Linked DNA regions of Lepisosteus oculatus. The protein of the gene in region 2 purifies or fractionates together with the protein of the main gene of each other region. This does not show direct contact. Links are inferred from orthologs where the notes say so. Each region holds a gene or a part of one and is shown on either strand. Other genes may lie near its edges.

What was found.
Region 1: the proteins of ATP-sensitive inward rectifier potassium channel 12 (region 2) and disks large homolog 4-like purify together in Homo sapiens (affinity purification with western blotting, with the first as the bait; 3 studies listed by BioGRID). This does not show direct contact. The link is inferred for Lepisosteus oculatus from reciprocal best matches to the Homo sapiens genes KCNJ4 and DLG4.

What each region holds. Positions count from the first base shown.
Region 1 is NC_090698.1:10,878,216-10,885,997, forward strand, and holds the start of disks large homolog 4-like, read right to left. Parts: upstream 3,517-7,782; 5' UTR 3,254-3,516; coding exon 3,235-3,253; exon of another isoform or gene 3,003-3,234; intron 2,115-3,002; coding exon 1,992-2,114; intron 762-1,991; coding exon 691-761; intron 1-690. Other genes in the region: tnfsf13 (tumor necrosis factor ligand superfamily member 13), read right to left, coding at 6,854-6,963, 7,761-7,782. UniProt on the Homo sapiens protein: Postsynaptic scaffolding protein that plays a critical role in synaptogenesis and synaptic plasticity by providing a platform for the postsynaptic clustering of crucial synaptic proteins.
Region 2 is NC_090707.1:38,762,600-38,770,298, reverse strand, and holds the start of ATP-sensitive inward rectifier potassium channel 12, read left to right. Parts: upstream 1-4,230; 5' UTR 4,231-4,894; intron 4,895-7,699. UniProt on the Homo sapiens protein: Inward rectifier potassium channels are characterized by a greater tendency to allow potassium to flow into the cell rather than out of it.

The DNA.
Region 1 (7,782 bases), on a different chromosome or scaffold from region 2:
GCTCATTAGTAGCTCACCGGGAACCCATTACCTAACCACTTCTCGAAGGATCCCACAGAGCCGGCTTCAACAGTGCAGCTGGGCCCCTTGCTTCACAGTTCACCCTACGTCTACAGAGCTGAGTTTGTCTTGAACCCTGCGGTATCTTGTCTCATGTCCCCACCTACCGCCCTCTGCGTGGAGCTAAAGAGACTTACTGTATTTCCTTTACCCTGCACACGTAGGACACTTTCTATTTATATTTTTCATCGTGTGCACTTCTGATACACTGTCACTCCCACGTGTGTCTGCTCATCATCAAATGACCAACCGGTAACCATGGCAAGTAGAGGCTGTGTGAAGATCTCAGTGCGGGATGTGCTGGAAACCGGAAGTTGTGTATTTTTCACAATCGGGACTGGCTGAAGAAACCGGTAAAATAAAGTCTAAACTGATCAAGCAGATCAAAGAGCGCAGACAGAGTGAAGACCAGCAGACACAGTGCTCCTGCAGTTGCTGGGGCTGGGAACCAGTGCCCGAGACACTGTGCCAGCTGTGGACATCTCCTGTCCTCTAGTGGAAGAGGTGTGAAACTGCAGGGCAGAAAGGCACTTCAGGATGAAAGAACCATTGGGCAGTCTGGGATAGTGTTTTCCCCAGCGCACACACACACACACACATCCCTGTGGAGCTGTAAAACCCAAGTCCTACCAGCACAGGAGTCCGAGGTCGACCCACCAGCCGACTCTCACACACAGTCACTTCATAGAACTCCTGGATATCTGGGGAGAGAGAACCAGAGAGAGGGGAGTGAGCGAGAGAAGGCAGGGAGATTGGGAGAGTGTGAGGGGCAGGAAGAGAGACAGAGGGAGCCACCGAGGAACAGAGACCCCCGCCGCACTGCTGTCGAATCCACCCCAGGTTTTGCAGAGCGGGCAGTCTGTCAGTCAGGGATCAGCCAGCCTGCCTGACCTGCTGGCTGTCTGAGTACTGTATGTCTGTGATTCATCCCACAGCCCAAGCGCCCCATCCACACAGTGGGTGCAGAGCAGAAAACAGCAGCTCTCAGCCTCATTCCTCCCGTCTCTCTCTCGGCCTGCCTGCCGTGCCTCCGTGACAAGCTTCCTGGATGATCTGCTCTTAATCGGGCAGTGCTGCAAGAGCCTCTCAGCTCTAATCCCTCCGCCTCAGCTAAACCAGCAGATTACATCCCCACTAAATATAGACAGATAGGCAGAGGGAGAGAGAGAGGCTGGGAGAGACGGAGTGTGAGATCTGAAAGAGGGGGGTGGAAAGCGAGAGAGGGGCGACAGGGGAAGACACAGAGGTAGAGGGGACCCCCCTCCTGTACAGTTTTACAGACCCCAGACAGTTAAGGCCCCTGTGTCTCATCCTCGCCCCCTGTGTTCATACTGTTCCTCTGGTCAGGCTGCAGGGGGCAGAGTGGAGTTGCACCTAGGGCTGTACAACGAAGAGGCCCCGTGTCTGTGCTCCCGAGGAGGCCCACGTCCAGAAGGTTTCCAAAATCTCTTAGAAACAGCCCAGCCTGGGGGCTCCTGATGGGGCTCAGCCAGTGAAGGCGCTCGATCAGGGAGCAGGCTGAGCCCCTACAGTCCAGACAGTGCTGGTTCTGCTCTGGGCCCTCATTCGCCCCACTGTGACTGGTGTTCCCCCAAAAGTGGGTACAGTTGGCTTGGGGCCTTCAGGGTTGGGTGGCCTTAAACAGGCCTGGGCGTCCTTTCGGCCGTGCAACAGCGCCAGCCTGCGTCTTTCTGGGCACCTGTCCGCTTGCATCAGCCTGGGCTGTTGATTCGTAGGGCAGGGGGGCCAACTGGACAGTTACCTGGGGCACAACAGGTGCTGGACAGGATATCCACAGCTTGCCCACAGAAGCTCCATCAGGGAGACGGGGGCACAGCTCTGTGGGGGGTGGGAGGAGGAGGAGGTGGGGTTCGAAACGGGAACCTCCCATCGAAACACAGCCTGTAGCCTAACCCAACCTGCAGCCTCACCCAGCAGGGCCTGGAAGAGGTCGCTCTGGAAGATGTTCAGGAGCTTCTCGGCCCGAGCCCGGAACCCCTCGTCGCCGGTCTCCGACTGACACTCCTCCATCAAGCGCAGGGCTTTCTCCGTGTCTGGGCCGGGAGGACAGAGACGGACAGGCAGGCGGTTATAGAAGTGAGAGCTACTGGGAGAGAGGTGGACACCTGGGGAGGACATCGCTGCGTGCTGTAAGAGAGCCGTTCGCCCCTCTCTGGGCAGGCAAGGACTGCCTTCTTACAGTACACATAAATAACAGTGTCTCGGGGTCTTCTTTGTCCACCTGAAACCAGTTATCAATCTACTTTGAAACGGTTAAAAAGATCAGGACTTCCACTCTCTACTCCACTACCGTCTGTTAAAGTGAAACAGTTTAGTTGAACGGGTCATTTCTTCTTTTTTTTTAAATATGGCCCACCCTGCCATGAAAATAATAATTGGGACAGTTTCTGAATTTCTCTTCCTTCTGGTGACTTTTATTCTGTCTGGTAAACCACTGCCTGTTAAGCCTGTTTGGCAGATAGTAGCTAGCTGGTCCCAGGATCGCATCACCCAGCCACTTCTTGAACTAGCTCAACAACACTTGTTCAACACTCCCACCCTCTTGGGTAAAGATGTATCTCCCCCACCAATTCTCAATTTCAAATGCAATTCTTGGAAAGAAGGCGGTGTTATCAGCCTCAGTGTGCTTGGGCAGCTAATCCCACACTCCCACCACTCTTTGTGTAAAGAAGTGCCTCCTGTTTGCAGTTTTAAATGCTGTACTTTGAAAGAAGCCAGGTTATCGGCTTCAACTTGTCTGGACTGCTTGTTCCATGCCCCCACAACCCTTTCTGTAAAGAAGTGCTGCCTGTTCGCGGTTTTAAATGTCATTCCTCGAAAGGCAGTGACGGGTTTCAGCGGACAGCCGGCGGACAGGTGACTCCGGGCTCCGGCCGCTCTCCTTCACACGACTTCTGTCGGTTAAACACTCAAAAACACACCTCCACACAAAAGTCTCCTGTCTCGTCACGGAAAGTTCTGGGTCTGTGTCCCACGGAGCCGTGGGGCCCTGAAGCGCCGACTCGCAGACGGCGCGCGCTCTAGACACGCACGCAGACCCGGGTTTCTCGCTCGAGAAGGGCGTTTGGGCGGGAACTCTGGGTACCGAACCCCCTACCCGACCTGTAACGGAGACGAACCGGGACTGAGGCCGAGACCGGCTCCGACACTCACCCTGTTTCCTCAGCGGCATTCTCCCTCTCTCTTACTCCCTCCCTCTCGACTTTCTCCTGTCCCTTAATCCCCCCGTCCCTCCGGAGCAACTGCTTCTAACCCTCTTTAGAAATCCCACGGGGGACTTCTGGGAAATGCAGTTCTGGCTCCTGCTCTCGACCACGATATTGTTTTATTAAGACCGTATTTAGTCGAAAGGAATACTTGCGTTAAAGGATACTACTTAAGCTATAAAATAACCTCATGATTAAACTTTTTGCATGCCGTATTACAGAATGAAAGCATGCTATACAAGACCAGATTTACGGTGCCGCTTAATACTGACGTGGACGAGAGTGGTGCTGTAGTTCACTTGGGTAATATTCTCCGGACCGTGTGTTTATAAACGACTGCATAAATAAATGTATTTATTGAAAACAGTGTGTCCCAATACAAATAATAATTATAGCTTTCGATTTAACCCTTTAAAACGGCTCTTAAACAAATATTTTAAGTTTCCAAAACATAATGTTGAGTTTAACTGCTTGAAACACCACTTGAAATAAAACTGGTTTTATTTTGTTTTGGTGCTTTCACTGGGCTGGCGCTGAGTGATGAAAGCAGGGGGAAACCGCACTCTTTGCTGGGGCCCGACAGACTGTTTTGTTAAACAGGGATATGATGTCATCCACGCGTCATAACTACAAGCTGTGACGTAGATGACGACTAGGGGGGGGTGCCCGCTTTTCCCCGGAGGCTTTAAAAAGGGCACAGTGCCGCCTTCCGGACAGACCGCAGACATGGCCAAGAGGCATAGACGAGCGTCCCGTCCAGTGCGCAGGAGGAGGCGAGTCAGGAGGTCCAGTGTGAAGCGCCAGAGGAGGAGGAGGAGGAGGACCAGGAAGCACCATTGAAACAGCTGGAGCACTTCTGGCAGGAGCTGCCAGCTCAGCTGCACTGCCCCCTGCTGGCCGCTGGACTGGCTGCCCTCAATAAAACTGCGCTATAGAACTGAAACATTGCCTTGACTGAATTATTGACTTGACTATGCTGTAAGATAGCGTCATGTATGTCCATGGCGACTTGCCGTAGTTAGTTTTGAAGCTGAGCTGAGATGTGCGTGTCCGTTGTTCGGAAAAATAAAAGAAGCTGTTTACATTTAATCGTTTACATTACGATTACAGCGCAACATGACAGACAGAATTAAAAACACAGCTGTTGAGGTAAGAAAAAGGTTTATTATTCCTGCTCTTAAAGACTTGTGTCCCGTCCAGGGTATACCCCGCCTTGCGCCCATTGCTTCCCGGGATAGGCTCCGGCTCCCCCACGATCCTGAATTGGAAAACGCATGGATGATCTTAAAGGGACATAGTCCCTTTAGTTGTGAACAGAAAAAAAAATACAAGTGGTCAAAGGCCTTCTAAGTCCTGGATTTGATAGTTGGACCTGAAGTCGTCCGCTGGATCTACCAGTGAACACAAGTGTGAACAGTTCATTCAGGACTGAGGACAGGAGGCAGCGGTTTACACAAAGAGTGGGGGGTGTCTGGATCAAGTTGCCAGGCTGTGTTAAAAACATTCTCTGGGGTGTTTCAGGCTGGGCGATGAGTCCTGGCAGTCTGGCTGGAATGGCTGGGACGCAGCTCCTCGTGTGTAGCCTGTCTGAGGGCTGTGAGGGAGCCTAGCCCTTCAGCAGCTGGGGCTGGTCAGGAATGCAAGCCGGCGCAGTGGGGCCGAGAGAATGGAAGGGAGGAAAACCTCTCACGACCAGCTGCTTCCAAGACACGGCCAAGTCATCACTGAGCACATGTACAAACATGGCTGACTGAGCCACGTAACGGCTCACTGATACCCACAGCACACAAGTGTACATCTGTTACTGACCCTTCACACTCCACACACACACACACGTGTGCTCCTATCTGTTACTGACCCTTCACACTCCACACACACACACGCTCCTGTCTGTTACTGACCCTTCACACTCCACACACACACACGCTCCTGTCTGTTACTGACCCTTCACACTCCACACACACACACGCTCCTGTCTGTTACTGACCCTTCACACTCCACACACACACACATGTGCTCCTGTCTGTTACTGACCCTTCACACTCCACACACACGTGTGCTCCTCTCTGTTACTGACCCTTCACACTCCAATGGAACTCCACACCAGAGGGACAGTATTTTCAGGAGCTCAGATTTAAAAGAAGATGCCGTCTGGTTTGTAAGAAAGTCACTTCCGCTGTAAAGACGCCCCAGCATCGTCTGTGTGCCAGGAGCTGCTGTCTCTTTGGGAGCATTTTCTCAGCACGATACTAATACAGGCCCACACTGAGACAGTAATACACACTCAATTCCCCACAATAATGAAACTTTAAATGCTTATCAATTTATATAACACCTTCAATGCCACGGCACCCCAAGTAAGACTGACAGTGTTGAAATTGTATTTTTACAATAGTTTGTTTCCCAGCTGTAGTTAAAAGGGATAGGATATATAGCCTGCACGGAGTCTGTATGTTCTCCCTGTGTTCACACAGGTTTTTTCTCTGGGTGCTCCAGTTTCTTCCCATAGTCCAAGACAGACTGGAAGCTTAACTGGGTTCTGGGAAAACTGGCTCTAGTGGAAGTGTGTCTGCGTGTGCCCTGCGATGGATCGGCGTCCCATCCAGGGTGTACCCTGCCTTGAGCCCACTGCTTGCCAGAATAGACTCCTGCTCCCCTGAGACCCCGAATTGGAAGAAGCGGCTGGGAAAAGAAATTTGGATGGGGATATACCGTCTTCACCTTGTAACTGTAAAACAGCGGATCAGCCACTAGATGTCACAATAAACAATAATGGCAACAATTCCGTTCTTGGCGAAATCCATCTCATAACCCTTTTCATACCCACTTGGGCTTTGTCCATGTGAGCGTCTGCATCAGGCCAATAAGGGCACCCGACATCAGATCCTGTGTGATAATGCTGATGTCCTGTTGTTCTCCCATGTGAAATGACAACCCTCTAGCTAGTGTGTGTTAAATATTGCTGGAACATTTCAGTCATACCAGACAGCACTTTTAATTTAAATATTTTATTTAAAATATATATTGACAAAACACATTAAATTAAATTTCTTGTGAATAAAACTACAATAAGCCCGTTGCTGTCTGTCTTTCTCACCTGCTAAATCACTACAGATGAATTAGCTTTGAGCTGAGCAAGCAGGTGCTGTGTAGGACCAGGATGTGTTTTTTTACACAGAGAGTGGTGGGGGTCTGGAACAAGCTGCCAGCCATGCTGTAGAAGCTCAACTTTTGAAGTGTGTCAGCGAGTGTCAGTGTATCTCAGTCCCTCAGTGTGCCAGTGTGTCTCAGTGTGTCAGTGAGGGTCTCTCATTTCCTCAGTGTGTCTCAGTCTCTGAGTGTCTCACTGTGTCTCAGTCCCTCAGTGTGTCAGTGTGTTTCAGTGTGTCAGTGAGGGTCTCTCAGTCCCTCAGTGTGTCAGCATGTTTCAGTGTGTGAGGGTCCCTCAGTGAGTCTCAGTCCTCTCTCGGTGTGTCAGCATGTCAGTGAGGGTCCCTCAGTCATCCCTAAGCGCGTCTCATGCCCTGACTGTGTCAGTGTGCCTTTCCAGTACTCAGTGGGTCCAGTCAGATCCGATATAGGCCCAGATAGGTGTAGTAGGGCTCCAGTTTGAGTCTGGCATCCTTGCGCAGCACAGAGAGCTCCACGACCGACCCCGACTCCAGGTAGAAAACACCTGACAGAGCGAGACACAGACAGGCACAGTCAGAGAGCTTCAGGACTCCAGAGACTGAATACCTCACACACTAAGACACACAGAGGCAGACACAGAGGCAGACACTGACTGACACAGTCAGAGAGCTTCAGGACTCCAGGCACTGAATACCTCACACACTAAGACACACTGAATCACAGTCAGACACACTGAGAGGCAGACACTGACTGACACCTGAACACCTGACTGTGTCAGAGACCTGAAGCTCCAGACACAGAATAAATCACCCACTGAGACACAATGTCCTTTCTTTAACACAGCTCCCAAAACCATCTTCTGAATGTGGTCTAGCTGGTTTCTCTCCAGTCCAGTGTTACACTCTCATGTTTATACTGTCCATCCTTCCGCAGGAACAAGGCCCCTGGGGGACGATCTGCTGGCACCATTCTGCCCTTTTCTTCTAACCTGCATGCAATGGAATCTACACACACATTTCCCCCACTCACTCACCTACAGTACACAGGTGTCACAAAGACACACACAGGATTTCACACACACATTCATTTCCTCCACTCATACACACAGGTTTCACAAAGACACACACAGGATTTCACACACACATTCATTTCCTCCACTCATACACACAGGTTTCACAAAGACACACACAGGATTTCACACACACACTGGTTTCTCACACACACACACACTCATAGGTTTCACAAACATACACACAGGATTTCACACACTCACTCGCATGCACAGATTTCACAAAGATGCACACAGGGTTTTACAAGCACACACAGGTGTCTCACACACACCTGCGCTGTAGCAGCTGCTGAA
Region 2 (7,699 bases):
AAAGGCCCGGAAACAGGGGACGACATCGGAGGGCCTCCCCAGGAAGTGGCACTGCTGTTGTGCGTCACGAGAGACAGCGCGATCCATCGGGAAGTGACGTCTCCCTGCCAAAGTGTCCGCCCCTCCGTGGAGCAGACCGGGTCGGAGCTGTTTCCCTGGTTCCCCTCTGGAGAGGGGATTCACAGCTTGGAAAAATCACCCCGATACTGACCCCCGGCACTGAAGGAGAGGCCAGCGGGAGGGTGGTCAGTCACGCTGACCCTGCGTGTGTCCTTGCCGGGCCCCTGCAGGAGCGGACAGGCAGCTGGTGTCCGGTCAGTGGCCACAGAGTGACCGGCAGGCCCCTTCCTGCTCCGAGACGCTGTGCTGAGCTGTACTGCGGCTGAGACGCACCGTGACCGAGCCCAGAGGGGGGTGGGGGTGGGAGTGGGAGTGGGGGTTGGGGGGGATTGTACATCTGTGGGAGTGAGAGGGGTGCTCGTTAATAGCATCGTCTGTGTGTGCGGGCGCGTGGCTGCGGGTGTGTGTGTGTGAGGGTGTATCAGTGCCTGTGTGTGTGAGTGAGATTAAGAGGCTCAGCTCTGTGTTTGAAATGAAAGCTTGTGCAGAAAAGAGTTTCTACCTGAGAGTCTCAACACAATGGCATTAACTTCCACAATAAATCTTGTGGAAAGATGAGGATATTTATAGGCTTCCACAGAGCTATAAAAATCCTTCTTGGCTTTTGTTCCTCAATGAAAGATATGTACTTTTAAAACACGCTTATATACGGTGTCAGTATGATCTGTATGCAATTCTCTAGTGCTGTGGTGCTTGTTTGCACTGTCAGGATTTTATACGGTGGTTATATAAAGCATCAGGGTCTCTATAGGGCTTGTATCCACTATCAGGGTCTCTATAGGGCTTGTCTACAGTCTCAGGGTCTCTACAGGGCTTGTCTACAGTCTCGGGGACTCTATGGAGCTTGTATACACTCTCGGGGTCTCTACAGTTCTTGTATACAGTCGCGGGGTCTCTACAGTTCTTGTATACAGTCTCGGGGTCTCTATAGGGCTTGTCTACAGTCTCGGGGTCTCTATAGGGCTTGTCTACAGTGTCTGTATTCTCACTAGAAGTTCCTTTAAAGCTAAGCATCATCTGAGTGATCCTTAGAATGAAAGAGCTTCTAGAGGAAGATCAGAACCAACAGCAGTCCAGCTGGGCCCGTTCAGCCCGGTCCGCACGTTTCTCGACGGTCCCGGGACACTCCGCCCCAGCGCCGAGTTCTCCCAGGTTCTTCCAACGCCCAGCGACCTCCGGTGCGAAGCATCAGTGTCCCGCGGGCTCCGTGTCCACCCTGGGCTTCAGACCACGGCTCCAGCGGATCCCGGGATCGCTGGCATCGGGATCAGATCCCCCGGGACGCCCCTCTCTTCCCGATCCACCGGCCAGCGCTGGCCCCTGCCCTTTCATACGGCACGTCCATCAAAAGGTCGCCACAGCTCAGCTGATAATAACACAGATTAGGGCCTATAAATAGGCAGCACACTGGGCACCGCGGACCAGCGCAGGAGTGAGTCAGCGAAAGAGCCTCGTCCGTCTGCCGAGCCAGGGGGAGAGAGCCCTGGGTCGCACCCCTGTCCCGGAGAGCCTGACCCGCCGGGACAGCACCAGTCCCGCCCACGCCGGGCTCAGGGGTGCCCCCGGACTTCCTACACGGTGGCGTCCAGGGGCCCTGAGAAAGACACCTGACACAGCGCCGTTACACTCTCGGCTGGCGTGTCAGGGAGACCAGAGATCACTGGAGATCACAGGAGATCACTGGAGATCACTGGAGATCACTGGAGACTTGTGATCTCTGTAGCCCTCCAACCTTTACCCCTCCCACTCCAGTATGAAGAGCTAGCGTCACACTCCGCACGACAGGACAGAGCAGATAAGCGACACTTCTCTCGCTGGATGAAAGTCCGGGAACTTATCTCTTCCAAGTCTAAAGGACAGAAGGCCCGTGCAGCTGATCGACCTGACCTTCCAGGTGGCTCTAAACCGCTGATTAAGCGTGACCTATAAACCGCGCGGGGCCGCGGCTCTCCTGGGCCTGGCGGGGCCGTGCAGCAGATCTGGGGAAGAGCACATTCAATAGTCTATATTTAGCGTGAGCGAGCTCGCACACACCAACTGCACATCTGAACACCAGCCAACTCAGTCCAGCGGAGCTGGGAACCGTCTCCCCCTCTCTCTCTCTCCCACCCCCCTCCTCGTCTCTTTCTCCTCCTGTTTCTCATCTGGACAAATACACACCCACCTCGGGGTTTTTTTTTTGCTGCTGACAGGGTTTAAAAATAAAATTGCGGCAGCTATAATTTAGACACCAGCGAGCAAAGTGGTTTCCATAGAAACCCGGGACCCACCACACTGCCTGAACGTCCCGGAGCCGCGGGCGGGGGCCGGGGGCGCGGGGTGGGACGGGGGCAGCCCGGGCCCCTGGCCTGGCCGGTGTGCTGTCCCGAGCCGACACACGGCAAGTCCCGGCTCGGGATCGTCAGACTGCGGCGGGGTTGATGGGAAAAGTTTGCTCCATGCCTAATTAGCTCGACTGTCTGAACTGGAGTGACTTTGAGATGCTTTGGCATAAGCATCCTTTACACAAAGGGTGGTGAGAGTGGGGAACAAGACAGTATTTTCAAACCCAGAGACCTGGCGTCTTTCTTCGGTCGTGGTCACGTCACGTGACACCTGCCCCTCCAGAAGACGCGCTGTCCTCTTTCGAGGGGAAACGGGAAAGGGGTCCCCCACAGGCCCAGGTCACAGGACCGCAGGACAACAGGTTAGGGTGACCTCGGAGAGCAGGGCTGGCCTGGGCGATCCGGAAGGCCCGCCGATCGGCGAATACAGGTGGAGACTAGTCCCGGTTCCGGTCCCGCCCGCTAAAAATAAGACGCACACCGCTGCAGCCCAGAGCAGCTGGCGCTGGTGGGGGCTAACAGTCACCAGGAGCCGCTGAGCAGGGGATCTGAGAGGGCCCCCCCAGGAGGAGGAGGGGGGGCCCGGCCTCCGGGGGGCTGAGACAGGGCGAGCAGCTGACTTCTCGCCCGGATTTGGAAGCATTCCTCTGCCGGACGGGAATCCTGACAGCGTGTGCTTCCCTTGCCTCCCGATCGGTTAAGCCTGCTGCTGGGTCCATCATCCAGCCATTTTCTGAGCACGTCTGCCAGTTCAAGGGTCATGTGGGAGCTGGAGTCTATCCCAGCAAGCAACGGGCGCCAGGCGGGGTTCGCCCTGGACAGGACGCCAGTCCATCCCGGGACACAGCCCAGAGGAAACCCACGCAAACACTGGGAGAACATGCAAACTCCACACAGACAGCACCTCAGGTCCAGAACTGAACCCCGGGCCCCAGCACAGCGAGGCAGCAACACTGAGAGCTGCACCACTGTGCCTCCCCCAATCCCCTCACCCCCTCACCCTCTCATTCCCTCACCCCCTCACCTTCTCATCCCCCAATCCTCTCACCCCCTCACCCTCTCATCCCCTCACCTTCTCATCCCCCAATCCTCTCACCCCCTCACCTTCTCATCCCCCAATCCTCTCACCCCCTCACCTTCTCATCCCCTCACCCCCTCACCTTCTCATCCCCCAATCCTCTCACCCTCTCACCCCCTCACCCCCTCACCTTCTCATCCCCCAATCCTCTCACCCCCTTACCTTCTCATCCCCCAATCCTCTCACCCCTCACCCTCTCATCCCCTCACCCCCTCACCTTCTCATCCCCCAATCCTCTCACCCCCTCACCCTCTCATCCCCCAATCCTCTCACCCCCTCACCTTCTCATCCCCTCACCATTTCAGCCCCTCACCCTCTCACCTCTCACCCCCTCACCTTCTCATCCCCTCACCCTATCACCTTCTCACCCTCTCACCTCTCACCCCCTCACCTCACCCCTCACACTCTCACCCCCTCACCTCACCACCTCTCACCATACACAGGGACCCACAGTGCACAAATTAACAACACACACTGATACACAGCTCACACACTCACAGCACACCAGACACAGTACACAAACTAACAACACACACTGATGCACAGCACTGTCACACACTCACAGCACACTACACACAGTACACAAACTAACAACACACACTGATACACAGCACTGTCACACACTCACAGCACACCAGACACAGTACACAAACTAACAACACACACTGATGCACAGCACTGTCACACACTCACAAAACACTACACACAGTACACAAACTAACAACACACACTGATGCACTGTCACACACTCACAGCACACCACACACAGTACACAAACTAACAACACACACTGATGCGCTGTCACACACTCACAGCACACCACACACGGATGCACAGCACCGTCACACACTCGCAGCACGCGCCGCGCCGAGGACCCGTCCACGCCGTGAGCGCACGCGGGCTGCTGACGCCCAGACCCACACGGCTCGCTCTCCCCGCGCCGTCAGAGAGAGAGCGAGCGAGCGCGCGCGAGCCAGCCGCCGGGATTAACACAGGGAGCAGAGGAGCCGTCCGGACACGAAGGAAACCAGGTGGCTCGGGGACGGACCGGCGAGTTCAGAGACCGCACCGGCGGGGCGGCAGGAGGAAGCGCGGGTTCGGGGGGAAGAAGTTTTCCAGCCCTGTGGCGCTGCGAGGAGCGGGCGCGGGGAGGGTGCGCGGGGATACGACACCGCTCCGGGATATCTACTCCACGGGCAGTCCCCGCTCCACAGTTACAGGGACACGGAGGGGTCTGGGGCCGCTCCGGGAGCAGCGCGGCGCGGCGGCGGGACGTGGGATTTGGGATCGAGCGAGGGAGTCGCGTGGACCCCCCGCCCGGGCCCGCGGGAGGAGTGGGCTCCCCACGAGACGGTCCCCCCCACGGAGGAAGGTAAGCGCCTTACCCGCCGGCTCCAGACTGCCTCTCTAACTTCCACACGCCGCGAGCAGGGTTGGGGTGCCGGGGGGTCTGGGCTCACGAGCCGACGCTACAGCCATAAGCTTATTAAGGCGTTTGCATAAGAACCCCCAATAACAACAACAACAACAACAACAACAACTTCTTTCTACACTGAGGGAAAGAGAACCGTTTCGTGCACAAGTGTTGGTATTATTATTATTATTATTATTATTATTATTATTATCGCAGAACTTCAGCGATTTGTCACAAAACGTCCTGTTCCGCCTGGGAGACGGGCCGGGTGTTCGTTGGGAACAGTGCGGTGAGCCCGTGCGGAGGATGGATATCGGAACCGCGTAGTTCGGTTTCCTCAGCCGCTCGGGGGGCTCGCCACTCTCCTCTCCACGGGCGCGAGGAGAGCGCAGCTGCGTGGAGCCCACGCGCGCAGAATCCCCCCCCTCCCCTCCCACGAGAGCCCGCGACGCCGGTGGCGGTTCGGCTTGGCTTCGGTGGGCGTCTCAGAGAGCGGGTCCCGAGCGGTGTCAGACCAGACCGGACCGGTCTGGACCGGACCCGCGCCCCCGCGCGCGCCGGGTGCTCACCTGTTGTTTCCCCGTCACGGAAAGACACCTGCGTGCTTCCCTGCGTGAGACCGGTCTCAAACCATCCCCCCCGCGTGGCATTGATTTCGTGTCGCGAAGAGTTTGAGGAACATGCTTCTAATGAGGCGTTATTTTTTATTTTTTTGTACAATGGAAGAGATTGCTACTCGCGGTCGTGCGTGTGTGTGGGGGGAGGCAAGTTGCTTTTCAATTTTGAAAGATGGTCGAGATTCTAAAACCCGTCTTTTATTTTTAAACAGATAGATTAAGATTCACACACAGATAAATCCAAACTCAGACACAGATAGATTCAGATTCACGCACAGGTGAATCCGGATTCACGCACAGAGTGCTGTATATTCGGATTTACACCTGAACACCTCCAGCAGCGACCCTCGCCCGGGAGACGCATTTGTATTCACCTGCTGGCCTTCTCGCGCCCCTCGGGGCCAGTTCCCCCAGTTCCCCCAGTAGCGCTGCTTTTCAGCTGCGTCGTGTCGCTGCGACACAAAACCCCAAACCAGACACTACCCGTTTCCCCGGGGCGCAGTTCTGGCCTCCTGGAGCGACTGCCCCCCGGGAGAAAATCTCCCCAAGCAGGAGAGGAGAGTCAGGGACCACCGGCCTGGCGCGCTACAGAGGCCCCCAGCCCCACGAGCGGAGAGTCGAGCTCTTCCTCCAACTTTCTTCTGAACGACACGGGGACACAAACCGCCATCGCTCCAGCGCGAAGAGCGCCGCTTTCGCAGGTCGGGCCGGAGAGCAGCACAGGCGTGTCGTGTGGCCCAACTTCACGCGGAATTCAGGATTTTGGCTCCGAACTGTTCCGGTTTCAGTGTTGCACAGACCCAGCCTGACGGCTCCGGCACCACTGACCGCGACAGCGACCGCGACAGCTGAACCGCGCGGCAGTTTCAGTTTCCTCCTGACATCGGCCTGTAGAGGAGGACAGGCAGGGTGTGATCGGGGAGGCGGTACCGTGCAGGTTCTGGTGCGGGTTCTGGTGGGCAGGACGCCTCGGTGGACAGGACGGGGAAGCGGGCAGAACCCCCGGCCACTCCGGCCGAGGGGGGGCGCGAACCGCAGGCAGAAGTTCGGCTCGGCGGCTCGTTCGCGCCGGGCCGGACCGGACCGGCGGACCCCGGGCTGGAGACGCGCGCGGGGCAGGAGCGGCGGCGGCGAGGGGGGGCGCGTTCACGGGGGCGCAGGCGGGCGCATGCATCGACCCGCACTGAGCCGGCCGAGCCCAGGCGCACACACGGGCTCGGAGGCGGACAGCGATGATGATGATGACCAGTAAACCTGGAGTCCTCATCAAGCGGTCCAGCGCTTGAACCCGCGGACGCCCGGTCGGTTTAAAGGGAACACTGCCTCTGGGGGACTCGCTGTCAGTGGGCGACAGCCCCCCTGTTTCCTGAAGGGCCGTGTGTTCTCACAGGCGGTATATGTCGGGCGGGAATCGACACTTTGAAAGCAGGTTTTCCTTCCGTTTCGAGTTGGGGTAGTCCGTGTGAACTGTTATTGCCGTGTGCGGGACATGTCCTGTTGCTCAAAGTAAAATCAAGTGTTTCAGGTCCAGTACAGGCCGAAAAAGACACCCAGTAAAGTTGCTCAGGAGAGAGGGAGTGGGTGGCAGCCCTGTTCCAGCACCTGGGGGCTTGCTAGCCTCCTGGTGTGATTGTTGAAGACGTGGTCAGCTGTGGAAGGCAGGTCGTGGAGGTTATTGCAGAGTATCAGCGCCAGAAGCAGGGAGCTGCTCTGCATACTTTGCACAGCAGCACAGCAGCACAGTGCTGAGGCGGCTTCAGGACCGTCCGCCTCCGGACAGCTCCCCTGCCAGCTTCAGCACTGCGCAGGCCAGGACACCTCCACACCACAGCGCCTCATACACACGAGACAGCACCAGATTCCAGCACAGCCCAGCGCTGGACAGCTCCTGACTGGGTCTCAGCAACGCCAGTGTGAGCAGACAGACAGACAGACAGACAGACAGACAGACAGACAGACAGACAGACAGCTCCTGACTGGGTCTCAGCCCCACCAGTGTGAGCAGACAGACAGACAGACAGCTCCTGACTGGGTCTCAGCCCCACCAGTGTGAGTAGACAGACAGACAGACAGCTCCTGACTGGGTCTCAGCCCCACCAGTGTGAGCAGACAGACAGACAGACAGACAGACAGACAGCTCCTGACT